Caenorhabditis elegans: one gene and its partners. The protein of the gene in region 1 purifies or fractionates together with the protein of each later gene. This does not show direct contact. Each region holds a gene or a part of one and is shown on either strand. Other genes may lie near its edges.

Region 1 (8,179 bases):
AGTAAGTTTCCCTTATCGTCCGCCACCATCAACACTTTTACTTTTCAGAAACGCTTCCGAAGAGGCGAAAGTGCACGCGACGCCGCCGTTGCCCGCCGAAAGAAAAACTATGGTGTCCGCAGAACTCGCCAACGGGAAACCCATCAAGCATCTCATCGAGAAGTTCGATGCCGGCGTCAACTTTGCAGAGCACAAGCCAAAATCCATTTATGCGCAGGTTCTCGAAGAAATTGGAGGCTCCGCGCCTAGAGTGGATGAAGTGTTTTCGGCGTCAAAGAAGGAGGAACACGCGGAGACTGAAGTGACAAATGTCATCTTCAGAAGCACTTCTACTCACAGTAGCATCATTGCGAACGGGAAGGAGCAGCTGGCCGAATTCGTCGCCGAGCAAGAAGCCAGACAAAAAGTCACTACTCCTAATCCAGTTAAAGAGGAAACTGAGAACGCGTTCTGTGCCAAAGAACAATCTTCAATGTCTTCATTGGATCGAGAGTACTTTGCATCCAAGACTAAATTGAATGAGGATCTATTTGCAGAGGTACTAATATTTTAATAATCAAGTTTTTGTTTTTTAATACTGAAATTTTTAGCTCGGAGTCAAAGATACCGATGGTTTCCAGCTCAAAACAGTCGACAGTAATGGCAGTGGACCAGGATCCTCGGAGATCATCACAGTCATTGAGACTCCATTGAAGGATGATCACCGAAAACGAGCAGATTCCGTGGAGGTTTGCTGATGCGATTTTCTGAATTAAATTATTAAAATTAGTTTCAGAGTGACGCAGATGTTCCATACTCATTGTGCAGTGAAGATGAAGCGGAACCGATGACAATGATCGACAAGTCGATGAAAGTATCACAAAGTGCCGAGCAGTTGTCCCCTGTAAAAGAAGAGCAGAAGGCTAAGACTGTAGTAGTCAACGTCGAGCTGGACGGCAATCGTGCGGATCCCACAATCAAAGATCGCATTGCAGCACTGCAGGCGATAGTGTCAAAGCAACATGTGCCAATCGCAAAAGTGGACAGCGTCGACGATGATGTCAGGATTCTCAGCAGAACCGAGGAGCTTCAACATATGGCACTGGAGGCGAAACCTTCCCCTCAAGCGGTAATTATAAATATTGCTCAAGAAAGTATATTTATTTTAAATTTTCAGCTCGGAGCACTCCGCCGCCGCCACGTTCGATTCATGCGAGGATGCTGCGTTGTCCAGTAGACTTCACCTCCACATCTCACAATCACTCCTCACATCCACGTGTCATAGTGCTTAATTGGTGCTATTAAATCGCCGCTGTAAATTATCAGTCCTCACCACACTCTATATTTTATCCAGATAACTTTCTTTTGTATGTGTGTGTGTGTTTCGAGACAATTATATTCTAATTTCTAATTTTATACCCCCTCCCTTCTACCGTGTGTGGTTTTCTAGTTTACGTGTTCTCAGGGTAGCTGAGAACTTTTCCCCCATTCAACAACTAGAACCAACACGAGTTCTAATTTTTATAACTCTAAAATTCCACGCGCACAAACCAATTTCGCCGTTGTTTCTGTTTTTGTTAAATGAAAGAATATTTTGATGATTTTGAAGGAAACATTTATTATTCTTAGCACAAATCAACATCCTTGCACGCCTTGTCTGGAGAATCCTTGTTCTCAATATCCTTTTTCAGCTCCTTCTTGACCTTCTTCAGCTCTTCCTCACACTCGTGATGCAACGGCAACAGCATAGTCCAGCAAAGAGTTCCGATGTTCACATCAAGCCATGCATCGAGATCATCATCTCCAACCTTCTCTCCACCCTGAAATATGTGAATAACGAGGAAAATTGGAGATATTTGGAGCACAAACCTCGACGAGAGCCTTGCAGACATCACAGAAAACACCGTGATGCTTCTTGAGATTGAGTGGGTTAGCTGGATTGGCTAGAAGTGGAGCAGCGGCGAGCAAGACAAGGAAAAGACACGGAAGAATGCGAGTCATTCTGTAGATTTTAAGATGAAAAACTGGAGAAATGAAGCGAAAATGCACCCGGAGCAGTGATGCTCGTGTCTTTTATCAACTTCGCGGCGGCACTGATAAGGAATCGAATCGTTTCTGATGTTTTCAGCATGGAGGAAAAGATCAAAGGACATTATAGAATACACACCGGGTCGTTCACACATCAGATGCCGATTTTTCGAACTGATAAGATCGCTTAGAGGAGTAGCTTTTCGCCTTGACGGAGAAAATATTGATTAATCAGGTTAGCAGTAAAGTAAATGGTGTGGGCATGTGATTTCTTGATAATTTGAGGAAGATGGAGGCAATCAATTTACTTATTTCAACAATTCTGGGGAAGCTTGAACAAAATCAACAAAGTTAAATAAATACGTAATTAGATAAATATTCACATTTCTTCTTTACAAATAGGCTCTCCGGATTTTTCAACTTTCAAATGCTATCGTCGCTTCTCGTGAGCGCATCCCAGGCGATTTGTCGATATCTGAAAGAGAAAATTGACATTTAAAAATTTAATTAAAAAAAAAAAAACAAACCTCTTGAGCTGCTGAACGGGCTCACTGGACGACGTGACGCCTCTTCCGACGATGATGATGTCGTTCTGCTGTACTTCGATCGCCTCGTCGACACCTCTCCACTGCTGACCGGCCGAGTCGGATTTCGCGTCGAGATTCACACCGGGCGTCCAATTGAGAAGATCCGAGCAAGCAGACACTCTCGTCTGAGTGATGAATCCAGAAATCACGTCACGATTCTCGTTGGCAATCTTGACGGCGGTCTCGGTGTATCCTTCCAGCGCAGTCAAAGATCCTTTGGTGCTGAGCTGCGCGATGAGGAGAACTCCACTGAGCCTGTAAGTCGGATCTTTGGCGAGCTTCCTGAAGACTCCTGCAATGCTGTCACTTCCTTGTACGGCATGAACAGTCACAACATCCGCCCAGTTGGCGATTTTCTGGGCTCCAGTGAGCTGAAGAAGGTTCGTGTTTCCAGTGTCGCCAAACTTCCGATCCTCGAAAATGATAAAGTCCATATCATTTGCCATCGTCGTCAGCTTCCTCGTGAATTCCTCGTTGAAATCGGTGATAGCGTCGGCGTGAAGCTTGATCGCCAGCACAAATGGACCAGCGAGCTCGATCATCTGAAGGCACTGCTCGACGGTAGTGTAGTCGACAGCGAGACACAGATTCGACTTCTTCCGGCGCATGATTCCAAGAATTTTCTTGATGAGTGCAGATTCTGTGAGGGATTCGCGTTCCGCAAGCGGAGTTCGCACGTTTTCCACGTACGGTAGACTGGACAGGTTTTCGAGCTCGCTGTTGATTTCCAGCTTTGTTGGGGAGGTGTACGGAAGGTTGAGAGCCTGAAATAATCAATTATTTTATTTTTAAATAGAAAATCGAGATAATTTGACTAACCTGAACAATTCCGTGCCACTGCTCGTCACCGATCGCTCCAGTTGAGTACAAGAATGTGAGAACTGTTTGCATGTCGAGCAGGCTGTGCAGCGTGACACCCGCGTCCTGGAGCTTCTGACGCCCGCCTTGTTCTCGATCCAGAATGCAAAATACATCCGAGGCGACCAAATTCTCTGTGTGAAGCACTTTTACCACGTCCAGGATGCTTCCACCTGTCGTCACGACGTCTTCGATGAGGATCAGACGATCGTTTGGCTGGTACAATCCCTCGATGAGCTTCTTCGTGCCGTAGGACTTGGCCTCTTTGCGAACGATGAGCAGCGGCTTCTTCAGATAGTTTCCAGCGGCGACTGATGCGTAGGGAAGAGCCGCGTATGGGATTCCAAGAACTCCAGCGTACTGAACCTCGCTAATCTCCACCTGCTTCGATATCGCTTCTGAGATAAGCATCTGGAAATAGTTTTCTTTTAAATAAAAATCATTAAAATAAGCTATTATTTTTTTTTTAAACTTTAAAAAACTCACCAAAAGCCCCGGATGCCCAAAGCATTCGCGAAGATCGATATAAATCGGTGAAATCTGCCCAGACTTGAGCTGAAACTCGCCGAATTTGAAGACGCTCGCTTTGAGCATTTGGCGGAGCAGATTCCGCTTCAGGGCTCCATTTCGGGTTTTGTCGGTGAGCGAGCTCATTTTCTCTGAATAGTACGATTACTTTTTGATGGAAAATAGTAGCGATGAATGTAAAATATAACGATAAGACTGAGGGAGATAATATATACTTGTGCAGAAAGCAGTAGTACGATTTGATAACAAGTTTTGAAGCGGAGAAGAGTAGGAGAAAGAGAACAAAGAGATTGATTGATAAGAAAAAGCTTGGGAAAAGAAATAAAATTGCATTTTGTTCAGATTTCTTAGTTTTACAGCGGGAAAACAGAAAAAGAACGAAAATTGGATTTGAAAAACTATTTTTTGAAGAGAAAACTTGAAGGTTACGGTAGAAGAGAGACAATGCGATGGAGAGAGACGCAGAGAAAGTTGCGTAACATTTGGTGTGCTGTACGCAACACAATGAGAGGGAATTTCAAATTTAGTTTTTCTGCGGGATCTTGTCGATAAATTTAATTAAGTTTTATTTAAATAGGGCTCGAGAAATTTTAAGATTTAAATAATGATTAATCAAAGATATGATGTTATAGTTTCAAATGAATATAAGAAAAACAATTAATAAAAATTTCTCAATGAAAAATAGATGCATTATTTTAAAAATTGTCATATAAACATTATAAACATTATATACCCCTCTAAAATTTTTGACTAGTGACGATCGATATTCCCCAAACGCGAACAGCATATCTGACGCGCAAAATATCTCTTAGCGAAAACTACAGTAATCTTTAAATGACTACTGTAGCGCTTGTGTCGATTTACGGGTTCGATTTTTAAAATTAACTTTAAGAGAAAAGGGAAAATAATACGAAAAAACGAATGAAAATGATATTTCGATGTTACTATTCGAAAAAAAATAACTTCAAAAATTGAGCCCGTAAATCGACACATGCGCTACAGTAGTCATTTTAAGAATTACTGTAGTTTTCGCTACGAGATATTTTGCGCGTAAAATATGCTGCGCAATACGCATTCTCAGGATTTATAGTATTTTAATTCTAAGTTTTCATCAAAAAAAACGTTGTCGGAAAAATTATTTTTTCAAATAATTCAGGCGGGAAATTCAAGCAGTTTAAAATTTCCGAAAAAATTTTGCGGGAGGCTCGAAGTTCTGAATTAAAAAAATCACAGGAACATTTTAAATTTTTAAAATTGTTTTCAGTCAATCTTTACAAAAAACAACATTTCCAACACTTTCCCGTTTCTCCCATAAACTCATTTTCCTGCCCAGCCAAAGTTGTCGTGGTGTGTTCAGTGATGCGTTCACCCAATTATGAGAGCTCTCGAGAGATGACGTTGTTCCTCTTTTCCCCATTCCAGCAACACATTCTAGAGCAATTTAACTAAATTGAGTGTAGCGTGAGTGAGTGCGCGTCCCTTCTAGAAAATAGAAAAAACGAAGCGAAAAAAAGAGAGAGAGAGAAAGGAGTCTCTCGAGAAGCTCATTGTGCATAGTTTTGGAAATTTGAAAATTGCAGAAAAATTCAGCCTCACGATTTTCCCAATATCATGACCCCTGCCTAACTTTGAATTAAAAAAAAAACATTTTTTCTTGAAAACTATTAAAATATATTGTTGAATTTGTTTAATCGCACTACAAATCAGGGGTGGGCGGCAATTGCTCCGGCAAATTTTTTTGTCGACAAATTGCCGGCTTGCCGATTTGCCGAATATCTGATTTGCCGTAAATATTTAGAGGGATTTTTTATAAGACGAAAATACTTAAAACTGTGCCTATTTGAACTTTTCCCGTTTTCTTTAGATATTTTTATATAATTTGCTTACTTTTAAAAATAGATGTATGAACATTCCTAGGATGTGTACAATTTTGCCGATTGAAATTGAAATTCTGAATTTCACAAAAAAACCACAATTTGCCGGTTTGCCGGAAAAATAGTTTTCTGCCTACTCCTGCTACAAATTATTATTATTCAATTTCCAGATTTTCTTCTTCTCCTCCTCCTCTTCATCCTCAATAATTGTATATCCGGGGGTGAGTGTATGTATGTATTTTATTGCCTTTCCTCTCATTTTCCACCCACATTTCCCCCATTTCCTCGTTTTCTTCATTCTTTTTGTTTTTTTTAAGTCACGTCATTCTAATTAGTGGGTGGGAATTTTTCAACAATATTTTTTAATATCTATGTGTTTTTAATAATCCTGATACTAAAATTTTTAAAGAAATCGAAAAGGTTGCTCAAAAATCCTCCCATCGTGCACGAGATGAAAATTGAGCTTTTTCGCATTATAACTAGTAAGAGAGCACAAAAAGCTCATGTTCTGAGCATTAAATTTTTATGTGAGTAAATCAGCCTAGGCAACTATGGGTAATACTGGGCGATAGGAGCAGGGATGTTACGGCAAGCGAGATTTTCGGCAACCAGCAATTGCAGAAGTTGCAGAACCAAAAAAATCCGCCTGGATAGTAGCCGTCAGAGCGGGCAATAGAGGGCAGAAGCCGGAGTGAAATGGGCAGTCGCGTTTAAATTATAGGACACTGGCGGGAGTAAGCAGACAGGTTCGAAAATTTGCCAGTTCTATAACCAGGCGGAAAAAGCTAGCTGGACACCCAAACTTTGTTGACGTGAACGAAGAGCGGCGAAAATTGATGGACACAGGGAGAGACGAGAGAAGCGGTTTGATTAGATAAGTCAACAAGCTGGCGGCTCTTTTTCTTCAGATGATGTGAATCTCTTTTTCTCTCTCGTCATTTTCTTGTTTTTCAGTGAATGAGTGCCCTTTCAAGAGGACGGTACATTCAGACACAATTGTTTTGTTTTTCGTCTCTCTAGTTTTTCTGCGAATTGTAGGAGGAACAAGTTGAGTTTTTTTAGAACGATTTGTACATTTGAGCTTAACTAGTGATGTCCTACTGACCCGGCGAGTGTTAGGATTGCAGTTTTGCCGACAAATTTCCCGCACCCGCTCCAACCTATTTTCAGCTTTCGAGGTTTTTATCGCCCGCTACCACTCGTTTCAGCCCCAAGCCTCCCAGATCTGCTCTTTCTGCTCTCAGAGCTCCTAAATTTAATTCAAAAAGCCCGTTTACCGGCCCGATTAGAGATTAAGAGTATTTTCACTTACTTTTTCAATATTATTCTCATCTTTGAACTCTTTTTCTTTTCAACTTCAACTCCCCCATATCTTGATTATAATCCATCCATCTGTCACTCACACAACCGAATCGAGTGTTTTCATTTTCTCCTGCTCTTTCTCAAAAAAAAATCTAAAAAATAGGTTCCTCCTCCCAAAAAGAAAGAAGAAATTTTTTATTGTTTTTCTTTTTTTTCGTGCGTATGTCAGCTCTATTCAATTTCGGCCACCCTTTTCTTCTGCAGCCCATTATTGTTTTTTTTGGAATGAAGGTCCTCGATTTTTTTTTTGCAATTTGAAATATTATACTTTGGTTTTTTTGTAATTTCAGTGAATCCAGGAGTTTTATTTTTTTAATGTCAACCCACTCAAATAAACTAAAAATAGAATCTGTTAAAACGATTACTTTTACCTAATCAAATTCTTTTCCACTGATCAAAAATCTGAATAATGGGTTCAAGAAACTGATTTAAAAGTGATTTACTCTCGGCACGTTCCACATTTTTTTGGAGTATATAATTTTGATGATTTTTAGATGGAAGAGTTTTTCAATTTTCTAGGCCACGGAATTCTGAAAGATTTAGCAGCATAAAAATGCTTCAAAAGTTCAAATAATGACATAAGTTTCAGTGTGGCCTAGAAAATACAAATATACTTCCATCTCAAAAATCTTATTTTTTTTTCGATAGTTTCAGATTCAACTTCTATTGACTAATTTTTACCAAGTGGCCTTGAATTCGAAAAACCTCTTCCATCTCAAAATTTCTGTGCTCCAGGCAAATGTTTAACGTCGAAGTTTTTACGATTCCATGGACGGGTTTTCGAAAAGGTCTAGATATTTCACCTTTTTTTAGTCTCCGGTTTGTGTATGTGCTCTAATGGGGTTATTCAAGTAATGTCGGAAAATTAAAAAGTGTAGGAAAATTACGTCACAACTGTATTCAAGTATATAAAAACATGTATTTAAATACATTTGTGACGTCACAAATGTATTTAAATACATT
Region 2 (8,661 bases), on another chromosome or scaffold:
TAAATATAGAAAATCACGTTCAATGTGTAAAAACGAAATTAATTTTTACAAAAACAGGTTATTTTACTTATTTTAAATCATTTTCAGGGGAAAAATCACAAAAAATTGGTTAGAAAAACGCATAAACCACATTTGAAAATTCAAAAAAAAATTTAGAATTTTTGTGCGTCAAATGAGATGCCCGGTACGCATACTGCGTACTCTGAGAGTTACCGTAGTTTGGAAAAGGATCTTTGTTAACTATTCGAGAATTCCTTTTAAAATATAGAAAAACTGGGAAGATTACAAAATATTAAACGGAAGGTAACATTCAGCCGTAACCCAAATTATTGGTTTAATCAGTTTCAAAACAAAAAAAGTAACAAAATAAGAATTCATGTGACTAGTAAAACAAAAGCAAATTTTGAAAAATGAGAAGATTATTCGATTTTCTTCACAATTTTAGTTTCGAATTCAGTGACTTCAATGAGATATTCGAATCCATTTGCTTTGTAATTGATTGTTCCGTTATAGCCAACAAAGTTCGGATCGAACACTTTGAGCACTTCTTTTGACACCGTTAACACTCCACTATTGTCCTCATCATCGCTGTCTTCATCACTATCTTCATCGCTGTCATCCTCGCTGTCATACGTGTTCCTGCTGAGACAAGTTTCCAGCTTTGCAGACGAATCAACCAACTGAAAAAAAATCTAAAATTAATTAATCAATAATTAAGAATTTCTATACCACTTTCAAATCAGATGACAATACTACAGTTGTGAATTCGATATTTGAAAATGCGAACAGTTCAGCAACTCGAATTCCGGTGTAGCGATCAGTGGAAAGTCCAGTTTTCAGTTTTTTCGCATTCTTCCACTGCTCCGAAAGCGTCAGCTGCCAACTGAAGTAGAACTTGTAGGAATTAATGATTTCAATGTTCTCGAGAGTTCCAGACTTGAAAGATTTGAGAATGAGCACAGTTCGAGGTTCCTTTAGTCCACTCAGAGAAACTGATTTCGCTTGGAAACAGTGAAACTCTCCAAACTCCTTATCGATTGTTCTCAGGCTTGCACTCAACAGTTTATTTTTAAAACTAACTCTTCTGGAACCAATATCGTAGATATCTTCAAATTCGTCACTTCCTCTTCCCATAAAGTCAAAATCCAGTTTGAACTCTTCAATTTGGGCACTTGGAAGCTTCATAACCACGAACAATTTTCTGAGAGCAAACTGTAGTCTTTTATTGTAGATGGTTCTTCTTTCATCATCAGCCACGACCGGATGGAAAGGTCCGAAGGATTGATTTCCATTGATATCAATGGTGTGAAAAGTGCCCTCAATAGAAACATCAATGTCCAATTTGAGGTGCTGGCTGTCGACGAAATCTCGAAGATTTCGATTGGAATTGCGGACGGAAATCCTGAAACTCATTTGGTTTTTTTTTAACATTTGCCTAACATTCAAAATTTGATACCAATCGTATGGATCCACTTTCTTCATAACTTTCTCCATAACATCAACTGGCATGCTTAAAAGCGTAAGTGGTCTTTTCTTCGATCTGAAAATAAGCAAATTTTAAACTGAATCCGATGCAAATTTCATTTTAACACTAACAATTTAATCGATCCAGTTTCTTTGTCATTTCGACAATTCCACGAGATGAGCCAGTCATTTTGACAAATTACCTGAAAAATAGGAAATTTATTTGATTGATTCAGTTTTCAATCGTTTGAAGTGAAGAAAACAATAAGAAAATACGGATAAAGTGAAATATCTTTGTAAAATACGTTACCTAACGGTAAAATAACAAATTTTCCAGTAAATTTCGTGAAAACTGAAAATTTCTTTTCTGTCTAATAAATTTTCACAAATAAAAATCACAAAAACGACAGGAAAAATGCAAAAACTATGTTTGAAATTTTGAAAATCCAAAAACAATAAACTAGGAATTCTGTGCGTCAAATGAGATGCCCGGTACGCAAGTTGCGTACTCCGAGAACTACCGTAGTTTCGGAAACTTTTTTTGAAACGGCTAATTTTAACTTATTTTATTTTCAGAATATAATGAAAAAAAAACAATTTGCATGCAAAGTAGCAAATAGAATTTGAAATAAAACGTTTATTTTCGTAAAATTTCTTAAATTTGCAGTGAAAATCCAAAAAATGAGGAAAAATCTCACTCTCAACTTTGCGCGTAAAATATAGCGCCCTGTACGCACACCATGTACTCAGAAAATGACTACCGTAGTCATTGCATCTTAAAATAATGTTTAATGAACCGAAAACAACACAAAAGAATTTAGTTATGCGGAAATTCAATGAACATTTTGTCAAAAAAAAATAGGGGAAATCAACAGTGAAAAAGTAAAAAAGAAGACTACAATAACTACAAACTACAAACCAATAACGAGAAATGAAGAGATGATCAAGTGAGAAAAGTGAATAAAAATACTGCATTTGAAACGGAAACGATGTAGTTTGTAGTGTCAAAAGGCTACAAACTACACAAAACTAGTCTAGACAGCACCAAAATAGCTGGTTGAGAAATGATTTGGATAGAGAGATGTGATATCGGAGGCGACGACAGTGATATACGGGTACTTTCTGGTTATATTCTTGAGTCCAGTCGGTGAGATGAATAGGGAAACCAAGTAGATATTCTCATCTGGGACACGTGCCTCTTTTAGGACTTCAATTGCCTTGCAAACTGTCGTCCCAGATCTGAAAAATTGGAAATTTTGATAAAAATGTGATTTTTTAAATTTAAATGTTTCTTCAGTTAAAAAAATTTCAAAAAAAGATTTTTTTTGCACAAAAAAAAACTCAATTTTTTAGACAATTTTTCGCCTTCTGGGGAAGTTTTAGTGATCGACATTTTTAAAGTTTCTACGTCAAACAAATTATTGAATTTTACGATTTTTCGCCGGGAAAATCGATTTTTTGACATTAAATTTTGTGTTTTTTTTCTCAGATTTTTCAATCAAATTTATTTCGGCCAGATATTTTTTGTAGTTTGTAGTCTCTGAGCGTACCCTATCGTTGGGTAGAGCAGTAGAACTCGACGCGACGTGATATCCGGAAGAAGCCTGGCGTAGAGCACTTTTTGTTCGTCGCCTGTAACAAAAAGTGGATGAAAATTGGAAATTTTGCGAGTTTTGAGGTTTTTCTTTTAAAAAAGTATCGCCAGTTTTCGACAAACTCAGTAAAACTCACGATTTCTACCACTTTTCTGGGTAAAAACGCAAATTTTACTATTATATATATTTTTAATATATTTTTCAGGAATTTTACCATAAGAACAGTACATATTTATTACAGATTTAAAAAAAAAAACATTTTTCGGCTGAAAAAACGAGTTTCTCTACGAATTAGAGGTATTTTTGAAGGAAAAGTCAGACTTTTCACAGATTTTGAGGGGTATTCAGGAGAAAATCTATAAAAACTGGATATTCACCAGATTTTTCCATTTTTCAAGCAGAAATCTGCATTTATAAGAGATTCCAGGTAATTTCAGGGAGAAATTGATGAAAATCGCAATGATTTTGGTGATTTTTCGCCATTTTCTTCTATATTTCTCAATTTTCTTCGCCTTTTCTAGGAAATTTCCCAAATTCCTCTCGATATCCTCAATTTCCCGTACCAATCAGAATTTTTCCAATTCGAATACACCGACAACACTGTCTCAATGAAACTTCCATCGCCTCTCCACTTCTACACAACGATACTCCACAATTTCCACGATTAAATTGAATTCCTTCATATTTGAAGCCTGTTGGTGTGGTAACTGTGTGCTCAGTGAATGGAAGATGATTGAGACATTCTTCAATTACAAGCCGCATCAGACGATCCGCGTTGAATACGAAATCCGAGTGATTTGTTGATCTGGAAATTGGAAGATGGTTGAGGCTATGGGGCTACAAACTACAAACTACAAGATTCTCTGAGCCTCAACCAATTTTTACAAGGAAAACTTCTAAAATTGCGAGGAAATCACGAAAAATACCGTTTCGGACCCGGAAATTTATGAAAATATCGGAATTTTGACTCAAAATCCGAGAAAATCCTTGAAAAATTCATTTATATAAATAAATATATTCATGTTTTCTAACAAAAAAAAACGTTTTTTAATCAAAATTTCAGTTAATTTCACGGCAAAAAGGCCAAAAAATGAAAACGTTTTCTATTTTTCTCCTAATTTACTGGCAAAATCGCTTAAAATGCCGTTTCTGACCCGAAAATTTGTGAATTAACGGATTTTTAAAATCTAAATTCCAAGAAAATCGCTTTTTAAGGCAAAAAAGGAGTTTATTTAAAATCAACAAGTTTTTCCGGCAAAAATACCGAAAATCGTTAATTTTTCCGCAAAATCTGGAAAAAGAGCTTGGAAATATGAGTTTTCAGCCCCTTTCTTTAAATTTTCACCCATAAAATGTTTGAGGCTTCAGTCTATTCCCAGTCAAACTTCATACCTATCTTTCAAAATTGTCTGCAATTCAAGTATCTGTGGAGTCTTCTTCAAAAGAACAAAATTTGTTCCCTTCTCTTTCAGATTTGCCACCAACTGCCCGACACCGTCTTCCTCATCACCAACCTTTGGAATCACTGGAGCACATGTTCCATTCACATGCCCAGCCATTTCTGTAATCTAATACTGATCGATGAGCAGAACAAGCGTCTGCTGCTCAAATACTGTCGGCTTGTACATGTTTGCTCTGCGGCACTCAACTCGGTATAAACGTAAAGTGTTCCGACTTTCATTCTTTCTCTTTTTAACAAAAAACATTATATAAATAAAATACTTCATAATACATTGTTTATGACGATCGAACTGCAGTAATAAATTAAAAGTCAATCGCCAGGCAGTTGATTGTGGGAGCATCTAGTACTCCTCTCCCTCCTCTTCTCCTCCCTCGTTGGAGTCAGCTCCGACCTCTTCGTAGTCCTTCTCGAGAGCAGCCAAGTCCTCACGAGCCTCGGTGAACTCTCCTTCCTCCATACCTTCTCCGACGTACCTGAAAAGAAACACATTGAATATTTGAAAAGTATAGTTTAACGGGCAACATACCAGTGGACGAAGGCACGCTTGGCGTACATCAAGTCGAACTTGTAGTCGAGACGAGACCAGGCCTCAGCGATGGCGGTAGTGTTGGAGAGCATGCAGACGGCGCGTGGCACCTTGGCAAGATCACCTCCTGGCACAACAGTTGGTGGCTGGTAGTTGATTCCGACCTTGAATCCGGTTGGGCACCAATCGACGAATTGGATGGTTCTCTTGGTCTTGATTGCAGCGATGGCGGTGTTAACGTCCTTTGGAACGACGTCTCCTCTGTACAAGAGGCACACAGCCATGTACTTTCCGTGACGTGGATCACACTTGACCATCTGGTTAGCCGGCTCGAAGCAGCTATTGGTGATGTCGCTGACGGACAGAGCCTCGTGGTAGGCCTTCTCAGCAGAGATGAGTGGAGTGTAGGCGGCCAATGGGAAGTGAATTCTTGGGTATGGCACCAAGTTGGTCTGGAACTCGTTGAGATCAACGTTGAGGGCTCCATCGAATCTCAAGGAAGCAGTGATTGAGGAGACAACCTGTAAAAAGAGAACATTAGAATACAACAATCAAATTGAGCTCAACAAACCTGGGAGATGATTCTGTTGAGGTTGGTGTAGCTTGGTCGCTCAACATCCAAGTTTCTGCGGCAGATGTCGTAGATGGCCTCGTTATCGACCATGAAGGCGCAGTCGGAGTGCTCCAAGGTGGTATGGGTGGTGAGGATCGAGTTGTATGGCTCAACGACGGCGGTTGAGACCTGTGGAGCTGGGTAGATGGAGAACTCGAGCTTGGACTTCTTTCCGTAGTCGACGGAAAGACGTTCCATAAGAAGCGAAGTGAATCCGGATCCGGTACCTCCTCCGAAGGAGTGGAAGACGAAGAATCCTTGGAGTCCACTGCAGTTATCAGCGAGACGACGGATCCTGTCGAGGACGGTGTCGATGAGCTCCTTTCCGACGGTGTAGTGTCCACGAGCGTAGTTGTTAGCGGCGTCTTCCTTTCCGGTGATCATCTGCTCTGGATGGAAGAGCTTCTTGTAGGTTCCAGTGCGAATCTCGTCAACGACAGTTGGCTCGAGATCGACGAAGATGGATCTTGGAACGTAACGGCCGGATCCGGTGTCTGAGAAGAAAGTGGTGAACGACTCTCCCTCGTTCGTTGATTGAGTTGGCATGGTTCCATCGGGCTGGATTCCGTGCTCGAGGCAGTAGAGCTCCCAGCAGGCGTTTCCGATTTGGACTCCGGCTTGTCCGACGTGGATAGAGATGACCTCACGCATTTTCTTTTCTGAAAAAGAAAATTATAAAGTTTTAAAAGAGAAAGACAATTGTTATATGAGAACGAAACGATTGCGGTGAGAGCAGAGACGAAAGTGAGCCCAAATAGGGCCGAGAACGCACGAGCGCGCGCGCTCTCTCAACATAGCCCAACATCGGACACCGCGGTGGACAAGTCATCGATTGCAAAAAAATGATGACGAAATAGCGGGGCGCCAGTGGAGAGCGGATTGAAATGAGTGCAAAGGAGTGGACTGCAAGGGAGCCAAAACCCCGTTGTAAGAGACCCAGAGAATAACAATGGGAATTTCGCAATTCCCAATGGGATTACTTTGAGTCATTTTGAAACATACGTGCTTTCGGAGATTAATCAAGGAAGATGCAGCAGAAAACCGTCTTGTGAAATCGCAAAATGATTTGAAAATGTTGAATTTCAACTTGAAGAAGCTTCACGTCTTCAAAATTCGATTTTACGTGAAAACAAACATTTTTGAAAGGGCCGGAACACGGCCGAATGAGGGTAAACTATGGAAAACTGATAAAATAATGATAAAATTTGGAATTTTTCGGAAAAACGACACTGATTACGACGGGGAAGGCAGGGAAATGAGTCAGAACAAGATACAAAAAAATGTTTCGCGCCAATGATTGGTGGGTGGAGCGTGTTTGCTATATGACCTGCACATCTAACTCTCTGCGCGGCAATTCAAATCGGATTATTTTTTTCTTGTGAGTTTTGACTCTTCTCTCTTGACTTTTGAGAAGAATTCAGGTGGAAATTAGTTTTTCGCAGAAAGTTTTCAATTCAGATCTGGAAAATCTATTCATTTCGCAGTTTTTTCCTTTTAAAACCCGGAGAGTAACTTTTACTATTGGGAAAAACACTTGAAAGCGTTTTTCAAGTCATTTTTCCGGCTTTCAGTCCAAATTAAGACAACAAACAATACCAGTTTTAAGGAAAATAGACAGTTTATATTCGGAATTTATAAAACAAATGTGATAAGAACTGCCGGCGGATACGAAAATACCGAAAAAAGTAATCACCGACGACACCGAAACGGATGGAAAATCGAAAAAAAATAAATAATTGGGGGAAAGAATACACACATCGACAGAAGACCGCAATTTAGTGAGTGATATCCATGGACTCGACGACGTCGTACTTGTAGGTCTTGTGTTTCAGCACCTTGGTGGCTCCGGCCTGGAATTTGTAGACGAGGTCGTTGGGCTCTGGTCGCTTGCAGAATTCTGGCACAATTGGCCCCTTGAAGACGGTCTCGCTTGGCTCGATGATCACAAGATTCAAACTGTTTCCTGAGGCGTTGTCACCGTGCATACCGGCTTCCAGGGCGCGTTGGACAAGCTTCTCGGCTTCATCTTTCTGAAAAATATAATTATAGTATTTTTAGCGCATTGGAATTCAAAAATAGACTACTTACCGTCATATCAACCTTAAAATCACGCTCCAAAATAGTGATAGCTGCATATGATCCAGATCCTTGAGCTGTGAATGGGAAGGCCATTGTAGTTCCGTTGGCGGAGCACATATAAAGATGTGGGCCAGTTGGATCGACTCCTCCAATGAGCAAGTAGGCTCCGATGTATCCTTGATAGTTGAAAAGATGCTGCTTAGCTTGACGAAGAGCGGTGATCACACGAGCCTTGCGCCCGGTGTTTAATTCCAGAAGACGGAGATTTCCAGAGAGCATCTTTGTGACTTGATCGAGATCGGCGGCGGTTCCGGCTCCGCAGGCATAGATCGACTCAGTGAGCTTGTGAACCTTCTCGCAATGCTTATCGGCGATGATATTTCCGGCGGTGGCACGGGAATCAGCTCCCATCACAAGTCCGCCCTTGAAGGCAACGGCGACGATGGTGGTTCCGGTACTGGTGAGCTTTGGAGCCTTTCCGCCCATCTTGCACATTGCCTGATTACGAATGCAGTTGGAGAAGTCGAACGCGCCTCCACGGTCCATGTCCATGTGTGGGACGGTGGATTTGACGTCAGCGGTGGCCATTCTGGAATTAATGTTGTATTTGAAAAGATCTCACAAAACATTTTGAGAAAAAAAAACAATAAAAATGACAGGAAAAATACGGAAAACCATCTAGAAAAAACTGATTAACGAAAAACTTCGATTTCCCTGATTTCTGCTGTCTCACAAGTGATTTTCTGCAGATAACCTATTCAATAGCGAACTTCCACTTAATTTCTACAAATTTTTAATCAAAAATACGCTAGAAAAGCAGGAAAAATGGTGGAAAACTTCGAAAAATGTTGGAATGCTGACAAAAAGATTTTTCAAAGTCATCGCAACGACACTCCGAAATAACGCAAATTTGTAGAGTTCC
Region 3 (6,718 bases), on another chromosome or scaffold:
CCATTATCAAATTGAACCGTTTTAGCTTGCCGCCAACTGCCATTCTCAATGAAGTCCTTTTGAAAGTCAACAAACTCAGAGTCTTGCTCTCTTTGCTTTCTCACTATTTCTTTTGATTGGGCTCTTTTCTCTTGACCTCGAGTTTACTCAGTAACTTTGTGGTTGGCATGGATGGAATAAAAGAAAAACATACAATCGTGGAGTTTTTTCGCAGTTTTTTTCGGAATGCAACTGATGATGACAGTATTGGGTTAGACACACCCATTGAAATAAGGTATAAAAATGATCAAACGAAAAATCTTCACCATTTCTGCTCACTTCAATCGAACGAAATGAACACGTAAGTTTTCTAGCAAACGATTTATGTTATCATTAGGTAGGATGTGCATCATTCATTCGTAAATTTTCAGCCTCCTTGCTCTTTGCTCACTTCTTGCTGTGGCTTCTGCCCAATACTTGTATTATCCAACAAGTTATTACACACCATACTATTACTATTATCCAACCGCTGCAGTTGCTGGTACCACTGGAGTTGCTCAGCAAACTCAGGCTGGTGGAGCTTCCCAACAAGCTTATGCTCAACAGCAACCACAACAAAACCAACAGTATGCTCAAGGAACCCAACAACAACAACAACAGTATTATCCACAACAAACGCAACAGGGTCAGCAACAACAAACTCTTCAATACCAACAAGGAGTTCAACAGCAACCAGTACAGTATGATCAATCAGGAAATACCCAACAGGTTCAATATGATCAATCATCCCAAATGCAGCAACAACCACAACAACAACAGCAATACACGCCTCAATATGATCAATCTGGAAATACTCAAAATCATCAGCAAGGAACTCAACAGACTGGAGCTGTGGCTGCTCAGCCACCTTACTACTATTATACATCTCCATACTATTATTATGCTTATGGAAGAAAATAGAAGAGTATTACGGAACTTGCCCAGCCCATCGTTGTTTCATATTATGATTTCATTCCTCACACTGCCTTTATGCGAACGAAAATAATTGAAAAAAAAAACAATAAATGATTCGAAATTTATGCGAAATGTTGTGTAAGAAAATATTTTTGAAAAAGCAGATTAATACCTGAAAATATTTCCAATTAAAGCAGTGGAATTGTCTTCGTGCCTACCTCGTGCCTGCCTACATCTCAACTGCTGGCTTATTTGTTTACCACATGCCAGACCAATCAGTTTGCACGAAATATTATTTTTGAACTATTAATAAGATACATTTGTTATATCTGTACAGCCTGACACTTTTTTAGAGCGATTATTTGGAGAGTATTCAACACCATCATATTTTGATACCTGAGTTTCAGCCAGCTTAACAGTTTTTTCATTAAAACCGAACACAAATTCAACGGCCCACTAGTTACTCATAACCTAAACATTGGCAGGTGTTCTCTTACATAATCTGTTATAAACAAATGGATCGTCTCAATTTCCAATCAGGTATCAATGACATAAACAAATTATTCACCCTCCACCGTGCAACTCCATTAATTTCATTTCATTTTCGCAACAAATGATACCTAACTTACAGTTATTTCTTTCATTAATACTATTCGGCTTATTAAATCATGTATCTTCAATTGACTATGAAGAAATACACATCGAAGATTCATATGAAACAAGGTAACGAATCCTTTAATTTTTTTTCAAAATTACGTCCGAAAACATTTCAGATCACGTATTCTAATGGTTGATGGAAATGTGTGGTTGCATGCCGGAAAGGATAAAAATATAACGTTCAAAACGACTGGAAATGGAAGAATATATGTGGACGAAACAGATGTTTCCAAACTTCCAGATATTGTAGGTAGACTGCTGAAATTATCCAAAAAAAAAATGAACGAGCTTCTACAAAACATTTATTTTTGATACGTTGCTTTGCTTAACACACAGATTTCTTATTTAGTAGAGGCTTATGCCGATGGTTTCTTGGCAGCTTCCACTTCAATAAATTTGATGAGATCAGCTCGTTCGTCAGCTTTCTTCAAACCAGCGAAGACCATCTGAAAATTTCTTATTAATACTCCATCGCACTTCCTAGAAAATCCTACCTTAGTTCCGGGGATGTACTTTTTCGGATCAGCCAAATAGTCGAAAAGTGTTTGTCTGTCCCATACAACTCCTTTATTCTTGTTGGCAGCCGAGTAGTCAAATCCAGCAACTTGTCCGGATTGTCTTCCAATCACTCCGTTCAATGTTGGTCCAGTCTTTGTTTGCAATGAGTTGACAACGTGACATTGCTCGCAACGTTGTTTGAAGATCTGAAAATCAATAGGTTTTCTGGGAACACTATAATGAAAAATTTAACTAACCTTCTTTCCTTTCTCATTGTCTCCTTCTGGAATAGCTCCACCGGATGCCGTATCAGACTTCTTCTTGCCCATGTTTCAAGAACTGATTAAAACATAGACGGTCAGATTAGAAAAAGGAACGAAACGTGGATTACGAGTAAGAGTTGGAATTAGATAGTCGGAGATCACGCAAAAATTTACTTTTTGACAACTATTTAAAAAGAATCACTTTCCTGAGAAACGGTCACGTAAATTTTGATAATTAAGTTCTATTATTTTTATAAAACTTTTCAAAATGAATAATTGTTTGAAAATGTTTGAACTATGGAAGTTTTTGAAAATTAACTCGAATTACAATTTTCAATATTCAAAATAATTTTCAGGCATCTTTCAAGCAACTTGTTGGACGTATTGAGAACACTTCTCAAATGTTCACCACTTTGAAAAGTCGCCAGGACACGCAGACTTCTGCAATGAGAGTGGTTTTAAATTCTGCAAAACATTATCTAGTAGCGGTAATTCCATACATTTTTTTCTCTTTTTGAAATCAATTTTTAGCTTCGAAATATGACACTCGAAGTGAATATCTTGAAGAAGTGGAAAACTGATAAAATGGCCAGAGACATGAGGAGACGGGGATTATTGGTGAAAATGACACGTCAAATCATGTAAGACACAACAAGTTAGGTTTGACTATTTTTTATAAATTGTTAACTTTCAAGAGGAATCAACAAATTGATAGCAATAAACGCGTGCGATCCGAACAAATGTAGTAATGGAGGCACATGTATCCCATCTTTTGGCGCCAAATTCACTTGTCTTTGTCCTCCACATTTCACCGGTACAACTTGTGAAGCTGACATCGATGAATGCTCAGTATACAATGGTACAACTGCTGGATGTCAGAACAATGGAACATGTATCAATAACCGTGGCGGATTTGAATGTCAGTGCCAATCCGGATATCATGGATCTCTTTGTCAGTATCATATGTCCGCTTGCTCGAAAACTTTTGAATTGTGTGGTCCACATGGGCATTGTATTGAGAGTATTGTGGATCCAACTGGTCAGTCATCTTCCGATACAACTACGTACAAGTGTATTTGTGATTGGGGTTTCAAGGTTTCAAGTGATAAGAACAATCCAACGTGTGTTGATGTCAATGAATGCGAATCAAATCCATGTCATCCAGGAGTTGATTGTATTAATTTGCCTGGATCGTTTGTGTGTTCCGGATGTCCAAAAGGATATAAAAGTAAGTTAGAATTATATATGTTCAATCAAATCAAAAATAAAATAATTTTTTTGGTTTAATTCTTGTCTAGAAAATATATACTCGTATCCAAAACGTTTTCATAAAATAGGTAAGTAGGCATTTAAATAGGTCAATAGGTGTGTGGTAGGCATGAGGTAGACACGTACGCCTGAACAAGTGCCTACCCTGTATAACACTTACAAATTTCAAGCTTTTTTTGTGAAAATACTTGTTTGGATTTCTCAGTTCCGAGAATGAGGAGAGAAAGTCTTATAAACTTCGGCTTAACAATGTGAAAAATCAGAATTTGTTAGTTTGAAGGTGTCGAAAAATGTACTGAATATCTGTCATTGAAATCCAAAAAGTAAAATAAATTCAGCCGATGGAAATGTTTGTATTGATGTCAACGAATGTGAAGGTGAAATTCGTGTATGCTCTCCGCTTTCAAAATGTCATAACACTCTTGGCAGTTATTATTGTGATTCGTGTCCGACTGGATACTCCGGCGATGGAGGAAATTGTGTGAAAGATGATAGTTGTGTCAAAAACAAATGCCATAAATTAGCAACATGCAAGGTAACTGACGACGGATACAGTGCTGTTGGAGACTACACTTGCTACTGTCCAGATGGATATGTTGGTGACGGAATTGGAGAGGAAGGATGTGTTAAGTCAGCAAGTAACGTTTGCCAGAACCACAATTGTGTTAATGCTGGGAAATGCAAGGTAACACAAATGAAGACAAGTAAGCACTGTTACTCAAAAAATAGTTTTCAGCCAACAAGCGACACCGAATATAAATGTGAATGTGAAGCTGGTTTTCTTGGAAAGTTCTGTGAGAAAACATCACCGTGCCAAACGAATCCTTGCAAAAATGGAGGAACTTGTATTGCCGTTGAAAATTCTGCTTATTGCGACTGTCCAGAGCACTTCTTTGGTAGGGCATGCGAAGAAGAGGAAGAACGTAAGAAAATTCATTAATAAAATTTTTATTGCTTGTTTTCTGTACAAGGAGCGGCCCAGCTTTAGCCTTGGGCAAACTTAGTATAGACTTTTGAACATATTTTGGATCTAACTGCTGGTAGGTTTCACAGGCAGAGTTGTTAAAAAAGTGGACTCACCATGCCACGCTCTTCAGTCAAGATTCTACAGTATCAGAAGTTAGATCCAAAGCCTGTACCAAAGTCTTACCGATACCGCCACTGCCTGCTCAAAACTTGACTGGTTTCTCTGCTCCTTACAAATAAGAGTAACAGTTAGCCACCGAAGGTTGTTCTGGGACTGCGCAGTCACTGTCAAGTAGACATCAGCAGAGACTGAAACCTCAAAAACAAAACTCATTTTGTAGACTGTGGCTCTCACTTCACTCATTCGAGCGGAAATTATACATTCGACCTACAACGATCGAATAAAACGGAACTGTCCATATGTGATTTCGTCTTCAATATTCCTGCTGCAAACTCTGCAGTTGTAATGACTTTCACAGAATTTGATAAATTTACGCAAGAAGGATCAGGACCTACAGATTGTGCCAAAACTGATGCGAATTTGACATTATACGATGGACCAGAAGACAGTTCTTCTGAGTTTGCAACATTCTGTGGAGATTCACACAGTGTTCACGCACCGCTGAGTGACACTCCAATCACAATGACTTCAACAGGAGCAATGCTGAGATTTAGAGGAACCCAAGGTTCTTTTACTATCAAATGGGAAACCGTTGAAAGAAGTTAGTGGAATTTTTATATAATTCAATTGGAAGTATATTATTTGCAGAATGCGGGTACCGTAGCTCAAAACCAGAAGGAATAATCTCCGTCCCACAAAACCACCAAGACATTGTCTGTGAATGGTTTATTTCGGCTCCCGGTGGGAAAATAATCGAAGTCACTATTCCTCCAGTTTCAATGCATTCAAAAGACATTGAAAAATGCGATCAAAACTCTTTGGAAATATACGATGGTTATGCTACATATGATAAACATCGTATTCTTGAAACATGTTCATCTACTCTTGAATCCCAAGTCGTTAGAACTACTGGACCATTCCTCACAGTTGCATTCATCAGTAATATGCTACAAAGTGATGCGGGTCTTGAAACGATCCGTGGATTTGTTTTAAAATACAAATTCACCACACCAGATAGGGAATGTGGAGCAGAAATCGATAACGATTCAAATGATTTCTCATTTTCTGGTGTCATTGAATCACCCAACTACGGTAGTTTGTATCCGCCAAACATGGATTGCACATGGAAAATTAATGGAACACTTAGCAATGGATCATATAGTGGAGATATGGTATTGAAACTGACGTTTGATGAATATGATGTCAAGTCTGGATTTAGTGCCAATGGGCCGGGAATGCATTGTGAGTTTATTTATATATTATTTCCTGAAAAGTCGCTCAGTTTCAGATCGTTCATTCCGCAGACTTCTGCCGAGAAATGAAGTGGAGTATGGAATAGCTCCTGGGTTTTCACGAGTTTTCGCTTACCGAAATCTTTTTGATATGGGAACTTGCACTAATGATTTCTTGAAAATTCACGACGGAGATGGAACATTGGTTCAAGAGACTTGTAATCCCAGAAGACCTCCAAATGTTTTGACAGTCAATAATCCAGCTGCAGTTCTTACATTCCACTCAGATTCAGCTGAACAAGGAAAAGGGTTTAGAATTCAATATGAAATGTGTAAGTTCTTTTTTGGTTTCATTGGAACTTTTAAGAGGTTTATTTCAGTATGTGAGAAACGAGTGAACGGAAATGGAACAATTCAAACTTGGAATTTCCCGAATGGAGGTGCAGCTGGAACTTGCACCTACATAATTGAGGCCCCAAAAACTCATGTTATTAGTGTTAGATTCTTGACAATTGGGCTAAGAGTACTTCCAATGTCTGAGTGCTTTTATACTCCCAACGCTGTGGAAACTTATGAAAATTATGTAGAGGTAGAATTTATAATTGCTTCTTTTCTTACTGAAATAAAATTATTTTCAGTTTTCCGGTGGCAGAACCGACAATGCTTTGTTCAACCGCCGATACGTTTGCGCTCGTTACCCATTTGTCGAAGGAGCGTGGATGTCAGTTTCAGCAGCTCGCCGACTACAAATTAAGGTTGGAAGTGATGGAAATCCAATG
Region 4 (7,935 bases), on another chromosome or scaffold:
GTCCCTACGGCTTGAAACAAGTATTGCAAGAACTGGTCAGGCGTGGATGGATGGTTCTCCGTTACCCACCGTATTCTCCAGACATTGTCCCATCTGAAAACTGGTTGATTTCCGATGTGACTCGTAACCTCTGGGAAAGAACCTTCAATTCCCATGGAAGTGTCGAAATGGCACTCAAGCATTATTTCGACTTGCGCCTGGAAGGGTTCTTTAAGCAGGACGTTCATAAGTTGCGCACACGTTGGCAGTATACCGATGATAATGATAGCAAATAAAATTTATCCTGAAGTTTCTTTTGCTTCGAGAAATAAACGATTGAAAAAGTCACAAAGACTTCCGGTTCAACCCAATAATTTTTCAAATAACTTTCTCATGTTGACTTCTAAAATTGATATTGATCACCGAAATTGTAACAATTTAGCAAGTTAAGTGCGGAATTGAAGTAAAATACTATAAAAAAACGAAAATCATTGAAAAACATTCATTCGAAATGCGCTGTGACGTCATAAATGTTCAAAAAAAAAGTTTCCCGCTTCTCATGTGCAGTGAAGCGATGGGACAGTCTGACACCACATGCGAATCGGTGAGATACGTTTTGGAATCCGACTTGCTGGGGGAGAAATGACTGTATGGGCTCAGTAAGAACACTTCAAGCCCACAGGACGCTCCGTTTCTTGAATCAGATCCGATTCAAACTTTTCTATTAAGTTGAATGGAATCACTTCGCACCACGAGATTGACGAAAACCAGAAAAAATTTCAAGTTTTGGATGTTTCTGGAGAAAAGAAAGTCGAGGATTTCTTTTTGGGAAATCGAATTCATTAAAGGTGGAGGAGCGATAGTGAGGAAAGTATCAAAAACTACTCCTATGGTGCCAAAATGATCGAATATCATAATAAAACTTTTCAAGCATTTTTTGGAAATGTTTTATTTACAGTCAAAAAGTGGCAATTACTCAGTTTTGTCACTCTTGGAAGTCGACCAAAAAAATTGTTTTTTTCCTACATTTTTATACTATAAGTTTTGTTCTAGCTATTTGTACTAAAACATTATAGGGTCAAAACATGCGAAGTTAGAATATCCTCAAAAGCTCATATTTTTCGAAATTTTGGCAATTTGACAAAATTTTGGCCGGAAATTATGAAAAATCGAAAAAATTTTTGAAGTGTTTTATTAAATTATTCGGTCTTTTTAAATCATTATAAGTGTATTTAAATAGACAAGCCGTAATTTTTCCATTAGTATTTATGACTGTAAAATTAATTTATTCTCCAATTATACAGAGTTCGAGACCAATTTCCATACAATTCACAGATAACTAATGTAATCTTATAAATTTCCAAATTCTGAAAATTCTTAAAACATCATTGTTTAAATATCCAATTATTTGTAATTCAGCTAGATTTCAACTCGGAGCGTTTCATTTTTTTTTGTTGATATTTTCGGATTCCCCTGTGAATATGGTTGTTTTGGAAATAAAAGTAAAAATTTGAACACAATTTTTAATTCTATAGCTCATATCTATTTAAAGAAAATTAAATATATTTAGAAAGAGTCGAGAGAGTGGGTACTGTAGTTGAAACATTTCATTCGTGTCGAGACCCACCTGAATTGTTTCAAATAAATGCATAAAAGACTTGCAGGTCATTGCTGAAATTTATTCAAAGTTATGTAAAAGTTTCTGATTTTCTGGAATTTTAATTCAATATTTATAATTTGGCATTTGGCTGAGTATCAACTCTGTGCACTCCTTTGTGATACGGAGCGTAATAAATTTGACAAAACACCACGTTTTCTAACTAAATTTTATGTTTTCAGACTCTCCTCGAAAGGCTGATCTAATTGAGCAACAAGAAAGAATTTCCAACGTGTGCTACATATTTATTGAAACTTCAATATTTTTGGGAATGAAATAAAACTTTTTGCGTTGAAAAGCAATAGACTATGACAAGACTAGACAATAAGTGAAAAAAGGAAAAAAAAGAAAAAATTAGCAGAATCCGTTGAGTCCCGTGATGGCTCTTCCAAGGATCAGAGCATGTACATCGTGTGTTCCTTCATAAGTGTTAACTGTCTCCAAATTCACCATATGTCTCATAATATGGTACTCATCCACAATTCCATTTCCACCAAGCATATCTCTCGCCTTTCGTGCCACCTCGAGAGCCTTTCCACACGAGTTTCTTTTGATAATCGAGATCTGCTCTGATTGAACTTTTCCCTCATCTTTCAGGCGGGACACACGAAGGCATCCTTGAAGACCCAAAGAGATTTCAGTTAACATATCAGCCATCTTCAACTGCATCAGCTGATTCTGTGCAAGTGGGCGTCCGAACTGTTGGCGATCCAAAGTGTACTGGCGTGCGAGATGGAAGCATTCTTCAGCTGCTCCGAGAGCACCCCACGCGATTCCGAGGCGTGCGTTATTCAGGCATCCGAATGGTCCTTGAAGCCCTTCAGCGTTCGGGAGAAGATTCTCCTCTGGTACTGGAACATCATCCATTGCAATCTGTCCAGTGATCGAGGCTCTCAATGAAAGTTTTCCTTCAATTTTTGGAGTCGTCAGTCCCTTCATTCCACGTTCCAGGATGAATCCCTTGATTTTATTGTTGTGGCGAGCACTTCTCGCCCAAACGACCATCACATCAGAGACAGGGCTGTTGGAGATCCAAGTCTTCGATCCATTCAATTTGTAGGTTTTTGTGGTCTCATCCCAGCTGAAAAACACAAGAGTTTTGAAAATGAATCAAATATTTTCTAGACTTACGTGGCCTTTGTCTCCATTCCTCCTGGATTAGATCCATGATTCGGCTCGGTCAATCCGAAGCATCCGATCTTCTTTCCACTCGCCAAATCGGGAATATATTTCTGCTTCTGATCCTCACTTCCGTAGTTGTAGATCGGTCCGATCACCAGACTCGTTTGCACACTCATCGTAGATCTGTATCCCGAATCGACTCGTTCCACCTCACGAGCGATGAGTCCATAGCCAACAGTTGATGTTCCAGCGCAGCCGTATCCTTGATATGGGGCGCCCAACAGGCCCATACTTCCCATTTCCGGAATCAGGGATGGGTCGAATTCTGGAAATCAAGACTATGGTAAAATTAAATAAGAATTCGGTATGGAGTGTCTCACTTTCAGTTCTGTAAGCTTCTGTGACACGTGGCAAAAGTCGCTCCTGACAGTATTCCCGAGCCGAGAGCATCAAAGATCTTTCGTCTTCAGTGAGCTGATCCGAAAGCTGGAAAGCATCTTGGTAGAACGTCGACGAGAGACCTGAAATATTTGGAGGGTGAGCTCAAGTTTGAGAATAATTTTTTGGGTGTAGTCGAATTTAGACGATATGTAAAAACGATACATCACAAAAATTTCGTTAACGTGAGTTATGGCTTCGAAATAGCGAATAATTCTAAATTTTTTGAACTTCGCGCGCGAACGAGCGCCCTCTGCGTGTACTCCTCTCGGACAATCATATAATTAATATGTTGATTATTGTTTTCGGCTAATTTTAGGTGATTGTTGCGGTTTTTATTGTATTTTTACAGCAGTCTTAATTAAATTCGACTACACCAGCCTTAAATATTAACTGAAACATTAATTACCTCTACTTGCAATCTTGCCAATTGACGTGAATCCTCTGGTCAGCATTTTTGCCGCTGCAAACTGGTAAAGAATGATGATGGTGTGCCCTCATCTCCTTTCTTTCAACGCCCGATATCATCTTTTACCCCCACGTGGCCAAGGACAAGACAATCGATACGATGAGGAGACAGATCAACTGAACACACGAAAATCACAAAACTTTCTTTTGCTTTAATTTAAAAGTTTATTTATCGGAAATGTTGATAAGGAAGCACGAATTAAAATTGAAAGAGGGGGCGGTTGAGGGGGGATACAATTACACCGAGTATCTTGTCAATGAAGGTTTTCATGTCATTAGAATGAGACTTGATAAACGATAAAAAATGCATCTGAATAACTATGGGCAATATGTGTGAGATGGGTAATTAACAATGAAACATGGGTGATAAAAAGAACAACATCCTAATAAAAAATCTCTTAAATACCCGCTTGAAAACATCGAACAAGGCGACTGAATACTGCTAAATCGAATCCAATGGCAATCAAGAGTGATTGTTTACCCGTCTTGGTTCGACTGTAGTTGATTGATAAGCAAGAGAGGGAAAATTGAAAAATGCGATTAGAAGTTCCTCAGAATCACTTCCCGTTGAGTTGGATTGAGTTGTGATGGGAATTCCACGTCAAACTCAATGATTAAATCTCCTCTGTGAGATGGAGACTTTGGATTTGGAAGTCCTTTTCCAGTCAGCCTGAAAGAATTAAAATTAATAATTTACTTCTCGTGAATCTCAAAATTTTTAACCTACCGTCTTGTAGTTCCCGGCTTAATGACATCGTTCAATTGAAGACGGTAGTCTGCTCCATCCAACGTTGGAATCATAATATCAAGGCCAGTCAATGCAGACTTCAGGGAGATCTTTTCGACGCGTTTGATGTCAGATCCCTCTCGCTTGAATTTCGGGTGTGGCTTATCCTTGATGACGAAGACTATGTCGGCGGGAGTTCTGTTCGGGTGCTGATCACCTTCTTTTGGGAATGTGATCTTTGTGCCTGACTTCCATCCTGGTTTAATAGTGACCGTCAAAACTTTGTCTTCTAGGCGTTGAGCATTGTCCGTCATAACTTTTCTTGTAATCTTCATCTTCTTCGTTGTACCTTTCAGTACATCCTCCAAACTGACAGAAAGATCATGGAGCACAGCAGGATCTTGACGAGCATGTCCACGTCTTCCACCTTGATGCATGCCGCCGAACATACCGTCATCCATACCACCTTGATTCATGAAGAACATATTCGGGCCTCCGGCTCCACCACCAAGATCAAACATTCCAGGTCCACCAGCACCGAACGGATCGGATCCTCCAAAGAATGATGAGAAAATGTTCATTGGGTCTCCACGGAATTCGTAGTGCATTCCACCGCCGCCACCACCTCCGGCTCCTGGTCCACCTTCCTTTAGTCCTTCCTCTCCGAATTGATCGTAAATCTTCTTTTTCTTATCATCGGAAAGAACATCGTAAGCTTCGGCAATTTCCTGTAATTAAAAAAAATATTATTTCAGGTTAACATCAATAAATTCCCAGAAAAACTGCAATTTTACTGGGATTTTCTATATTTTGATTAAAATCGTTTTTAAATCGAGTGCTTAAAAATAACAACTTGGTCATGAAAAGTACAGTATCCTTCACCGAGGACCAAAAACTTTTTTTTAAATTAGAAAACTAAATTTTAAAAAATACCTTGAATTTGTTCTCAGCTCCAGCTTCCTTATTCTTATCCGGATGGTATTTCAAAGCCATTTTACGATAAGCCTTTTTGATTTCATCGTCTGTTGCACCTTTGCTGATGCCCAGCACTTTGTAGTAGTCTTTTCCCATTGTGGAAAGTAATCTGAAAAGAAATCATATGAATTTTTGAAATATTAACCAGTAACAGGTTAACGGAATAAATGAAGCAACAGATAGATAAAAAGAATACACCCGGCAGAATAAATATGGGTCAACATCAGAAGAGGAAACACGGAGAAATGGAAGAGAGAGTGCGCCGAATCATGAGAGAGAAGAGTGCGGAACTTTCCAGAGCGTTCTATTTACTCGCGAAGCGCAGTGCATGTTCGATCTTCCGTCGGCCGGTGGAGCGCACATGCATCACTCGTTTTTTTTATTGAAAATACATTGGTTTCGCAAGATAAAAATGAGGAATGAATAAAAGCATGAGCACGATACAAAGAAAAGAATGAGCAAGAGATAAGAAATTGTGCTTTTTGGTATTTATTTTCTGAAAAAAGAATATTCTGGAAGGCGAAGTTTCGTCACGAAAAAATATGTTTGTTGGAAAGAATGATTTACGTACACTAGGAAGAAAAGTTATGCTTAAAATTCACTTGCTTATTTAAAAATTGATTATTTAAAACCTGAATTGTTAAAATTTAAATTATTCGAAGAGAAAATAAAGAGAAAAAATTGTTTCCATGAAATTAGTTTTGTTCTCGTGTATAAACAGCAATCAGATATTATTTTTAGAAAAGATTTTTAGAAAAAACTTTAATAAAACTGTATTGAATTAAACAATTTTAAAAATCAAGCCTCTATCCATAATCCAGAAGGCCTCCTGAACTCTGCGCTCGAAAACCCCTAGGCGCGCCGAAAAAAAATAAATAATGCGAAGAGTACTGTATCAAAGGGACATCAACGGCGCACAGTATGGTCCTGCCACGGAGACATATTTCTGTTTTCCTAAACAAGTTTGTGCGAACCTCCATGCTTTTTCACCGGTCCCAAAGTATTTTCCTCTGATTTTAAAGTATTTTTCGTATAAAAATGTTTCGGCGAACCGAGCCACCGTTCCGATTGTTGGCTAGAAAGCGAAGAAATTCCGATTCGACGCCCCCAATCACGAAGTTCTTTGCAACAGTAAAACGGGAACGTTCAAGCTCTGAATCGAAAAACGTATGCCAGAAGTTGGACGGTACGACAATTTTTCTTTTAATTTAAAATTAATTTTCTTGATTTTCAGAAAGTTTCGAAGCTCCCAACAACTTATCTCAAACCTCTCATACCGATTCACCAGACAATGGGCTTTTGTACTCCTTGGAGGATTTGCGAGCACTTTTAGGTGTTCCTGTCAAATTTTCCTCGAAATGTGTGCCATCTCCAGATGCACCAGTGGGCTTGGAAAACCTGCCGAATAGAGCCTATTCGCATATTTTCACAATTCTTGACAGTTAGTTGTGAAGTACTGATCAGAAATTTTAACATTCACATTTTTCAGTGCAATCCATTAATGCGCTTTCACTGACATCCACAAAGTTGTGCTCACGAGTCAAAACCTACGTTTCAACCCACGATTTTTTCCGTCGAATGCAATTGGATAATCTTGACTTTCTCAATAGCTCACTCCGCCCCGACGATGAAGAATTCTTAGAGAATGATCCTTTCACTGCATGTGGTTAGTGTTGCAATATTTTTATTTTCGTTTATAAATCTAAATGTATTTTAACAGGTGGCCTCATCAAATCCATCACGATCACAATGAACACAAAGATCCGCGCTCAAGTCTTCCTGAACATCTGCCGGAATTTGCGTGATCAACTCGGAGGCTCCCTTCATGGTTTTGGAAGACTCCTGGAAACGATAACGCACAATTGGAAGTTCTCTGAACGTCGTATAATGGTAAAAGCTGCAATCATGATCGACGCTGATCTCCGTCCTTCGATTATCAAGGTTCTTACTGCTAAACCGGGCCAGTTGATAGGTCTCGAGATGAAAGTTCGTTCCGGGTTGACCCAACTCTTCCTCAACTTGAGTCAAGACATCGATGAAGCTTCTCCACAGGAGATTATCGAGTTTGGCTCCTGGTTGTCTGTTCTGATCCGAAACGTAATTGAAAAATATCAGGGAAAGTTCTATTACATCCTATTCGGACCAACAAGATCTTCAAGAATTGGCGAACGCGTCGACTGGGCGTATTTCTGTGAGGACGATTCAGATACCTTCACTTTGCGGAAGAGTGAGCCAAACTATAGGAAATTGCTGTCAACGTTGCTCAATGGAATCCGCGCTCTTCGCATCATGAATAATTCCAAGAGTTCGGACCAAATGTGGAGCGGGAAGAAACTTTATCAGCTTTTCCTCCGGATCATTGGTAATATTTTTTTTTTTAATATTTTTAATTTTTAATAGCTTTTTAATTTTCAGAAGTTTGCGAAGTACAAGGCTTTTGGTCTGAGACCTCATCTTCTATGGCGCTGGCCATTGATTCTTCAGGATTGCTCAGCGAATATCTTGTCACCTGTCTCGATCCTCGCCGCGACGACTATGAAACTCTCCAGAATGAAGCCGCGGAGATGGT

The links.
Region 2: the proteins of umps-1 (region 1) and C47B2.2 fractionate together in Caenorhabditis elegans (co-fractionation; one large-scale study listed by BioGRID). This does not show direct contact.
Region 3: the proteins of umps-1 (region 1) and cyc-2.2 fractionate together in Caenorhabditis elegans (co-fractionation; one large-scale study listed by BioGRID). This does not show direct contact.
Region 4: the proteins of umps-1 (region 1) and F54D5.7 fractionate together in Caenorhabditis elegans (co-fractionation; one large-scale study listed by BioGRID). This does not show direct contact.

What each region holds. Positions count from the first base shown.
Region 1 is NC_003281.10:10,353,538-10,361,716, forward strand, and holds umps-1 (Orotidine 5'-phosphate decarboxylase), read right to left. Parts: upstream 4,112-8,179; 5' UTR 4,107-4,111; coding exon 3,939-4,106; intron 3,864-3,938; coding exon 3,414-3,863; intron 3,359-3,413; coding exon 2,535-3,358; intron 2,483-2,534; coding exon 2,431-2,482; 3' UTR 2,300-2,430; downstream 1-2,299. Other genes in the region: T07C4.3 (ANK_REP_REGION domain-containing protein), read left to right, coding at 1-1, 49-538, 591-728, 770-1,108, 1,157-1,216; spp-1 (Saposin B-type domain-containing protein), read right to left, coding at 1,605-1,799, 1,849-1,980. UniProt on the Caenorhabditis elegans protein: Bifunctional enzyme which catalyzes the formation of UMP from orotate in the de novo pathway of pyrimidine biosynthesis. May also form UMP from uracil. Regulates the size of gut granules during embryonic development.
Region 2 is NC_003279.8:12,959,953-12,968,613, forward strand, and holds C47B2.2 (Phosphoribosyltransferase domain-containing protein), read right to left. Parts: upstream 4,628-8,661; 5' UTR 4,619-4,627; coding exon 4,452-4,618; intron 3,865-4,451; coding exon 3,623-3,864; intron 3,097-3,622; coding exon 3,015-3,096; intron 2,704-3,014; coding exon 2,499-2,703; 3' UTR 2,090-2,498; downstream 1-2,089. Other genes in the region: fbxa-140 (F-box domain-containing protein), read right to left, coding at 420-680, 730-1,402, 1,457-1,509; tba-2 (Tubulin alpha-2 chain), read right to left, coding at 4,862-4,994, 5,048-5,568, 5,619-6,311; pbs-2 (Proteasome subunit beta), read right to left, coding at 7,436-7,690, 7,749-8,327.
Region 3 is NC_003283.11:12,609,801-12,616,518, forward strand, and holds cyc-2.2 (putative cytochrome c 2.2), read right to left. Parts: upstream 2,419-6,718; 5' UTR 2,418-2,418; coding exon 2,346-2,417; intron 2,295-2,345; coding exon 2,085-2,294; intron 2,037-2,084; coding exon 1,947-2,036; 3' UTR 1,882-1,946; downstream 1-1,881. Other genes in the region: ZC116.1 (Prion-like-(Q/N-rich)-domain-bearing protein), read left to right, coding at 168-340, 411-939; cubn-1 (Cubilin homolog), read left to right, coding at 1,547-1,656, 1,707-1,836, 2,708-2,839, 2,883-2,992, 3,047-3,579, 3,959-4,305, 4,357-4,543, 4,928-5,308 and 4 more. UniProt on the Caenorhabditis elegans protein: Electron carrier protein. The oxidized form of the cytochrome c heme group can accept an electron from the heme group of the cytochrome c1 subunit of cytochrome reductase.
Region 4 is NC_003280.10:11,543,241-11,551,175, reverse strand, and holds F54D5.7 (putative glutaryl-CoA dehydrogenase, mitochondrial), read right to left. Parts: upstream 3,660-7,935; 5' UTR 3,652-3,659; coding exon 3,606-3,651; intron 3,555-3,605; exon of another isoform or gene 3,405-3,554; intron 3,280-3,404; coding exon 3,139-3,279; intron 3,084-3,138; coding exon 2,768-3,083; intron 2,718-2,767; coding exon 1,991-2,717; 3' UTR 1,864-1,990; downstream 1-1,863. Other genes in the region: dnj-13 (DnaJ homolog subfamily B member 13), read right to left, coding at 4,205-4,334, 4,392-5,119, 5,325-5,462; F54D5.9 (F-box domain-containing protein), read left to right, coding at 6,405-6,552, 6,601-6,807, 6,856-7,032, 7,087-7,728, 7,782-7,935.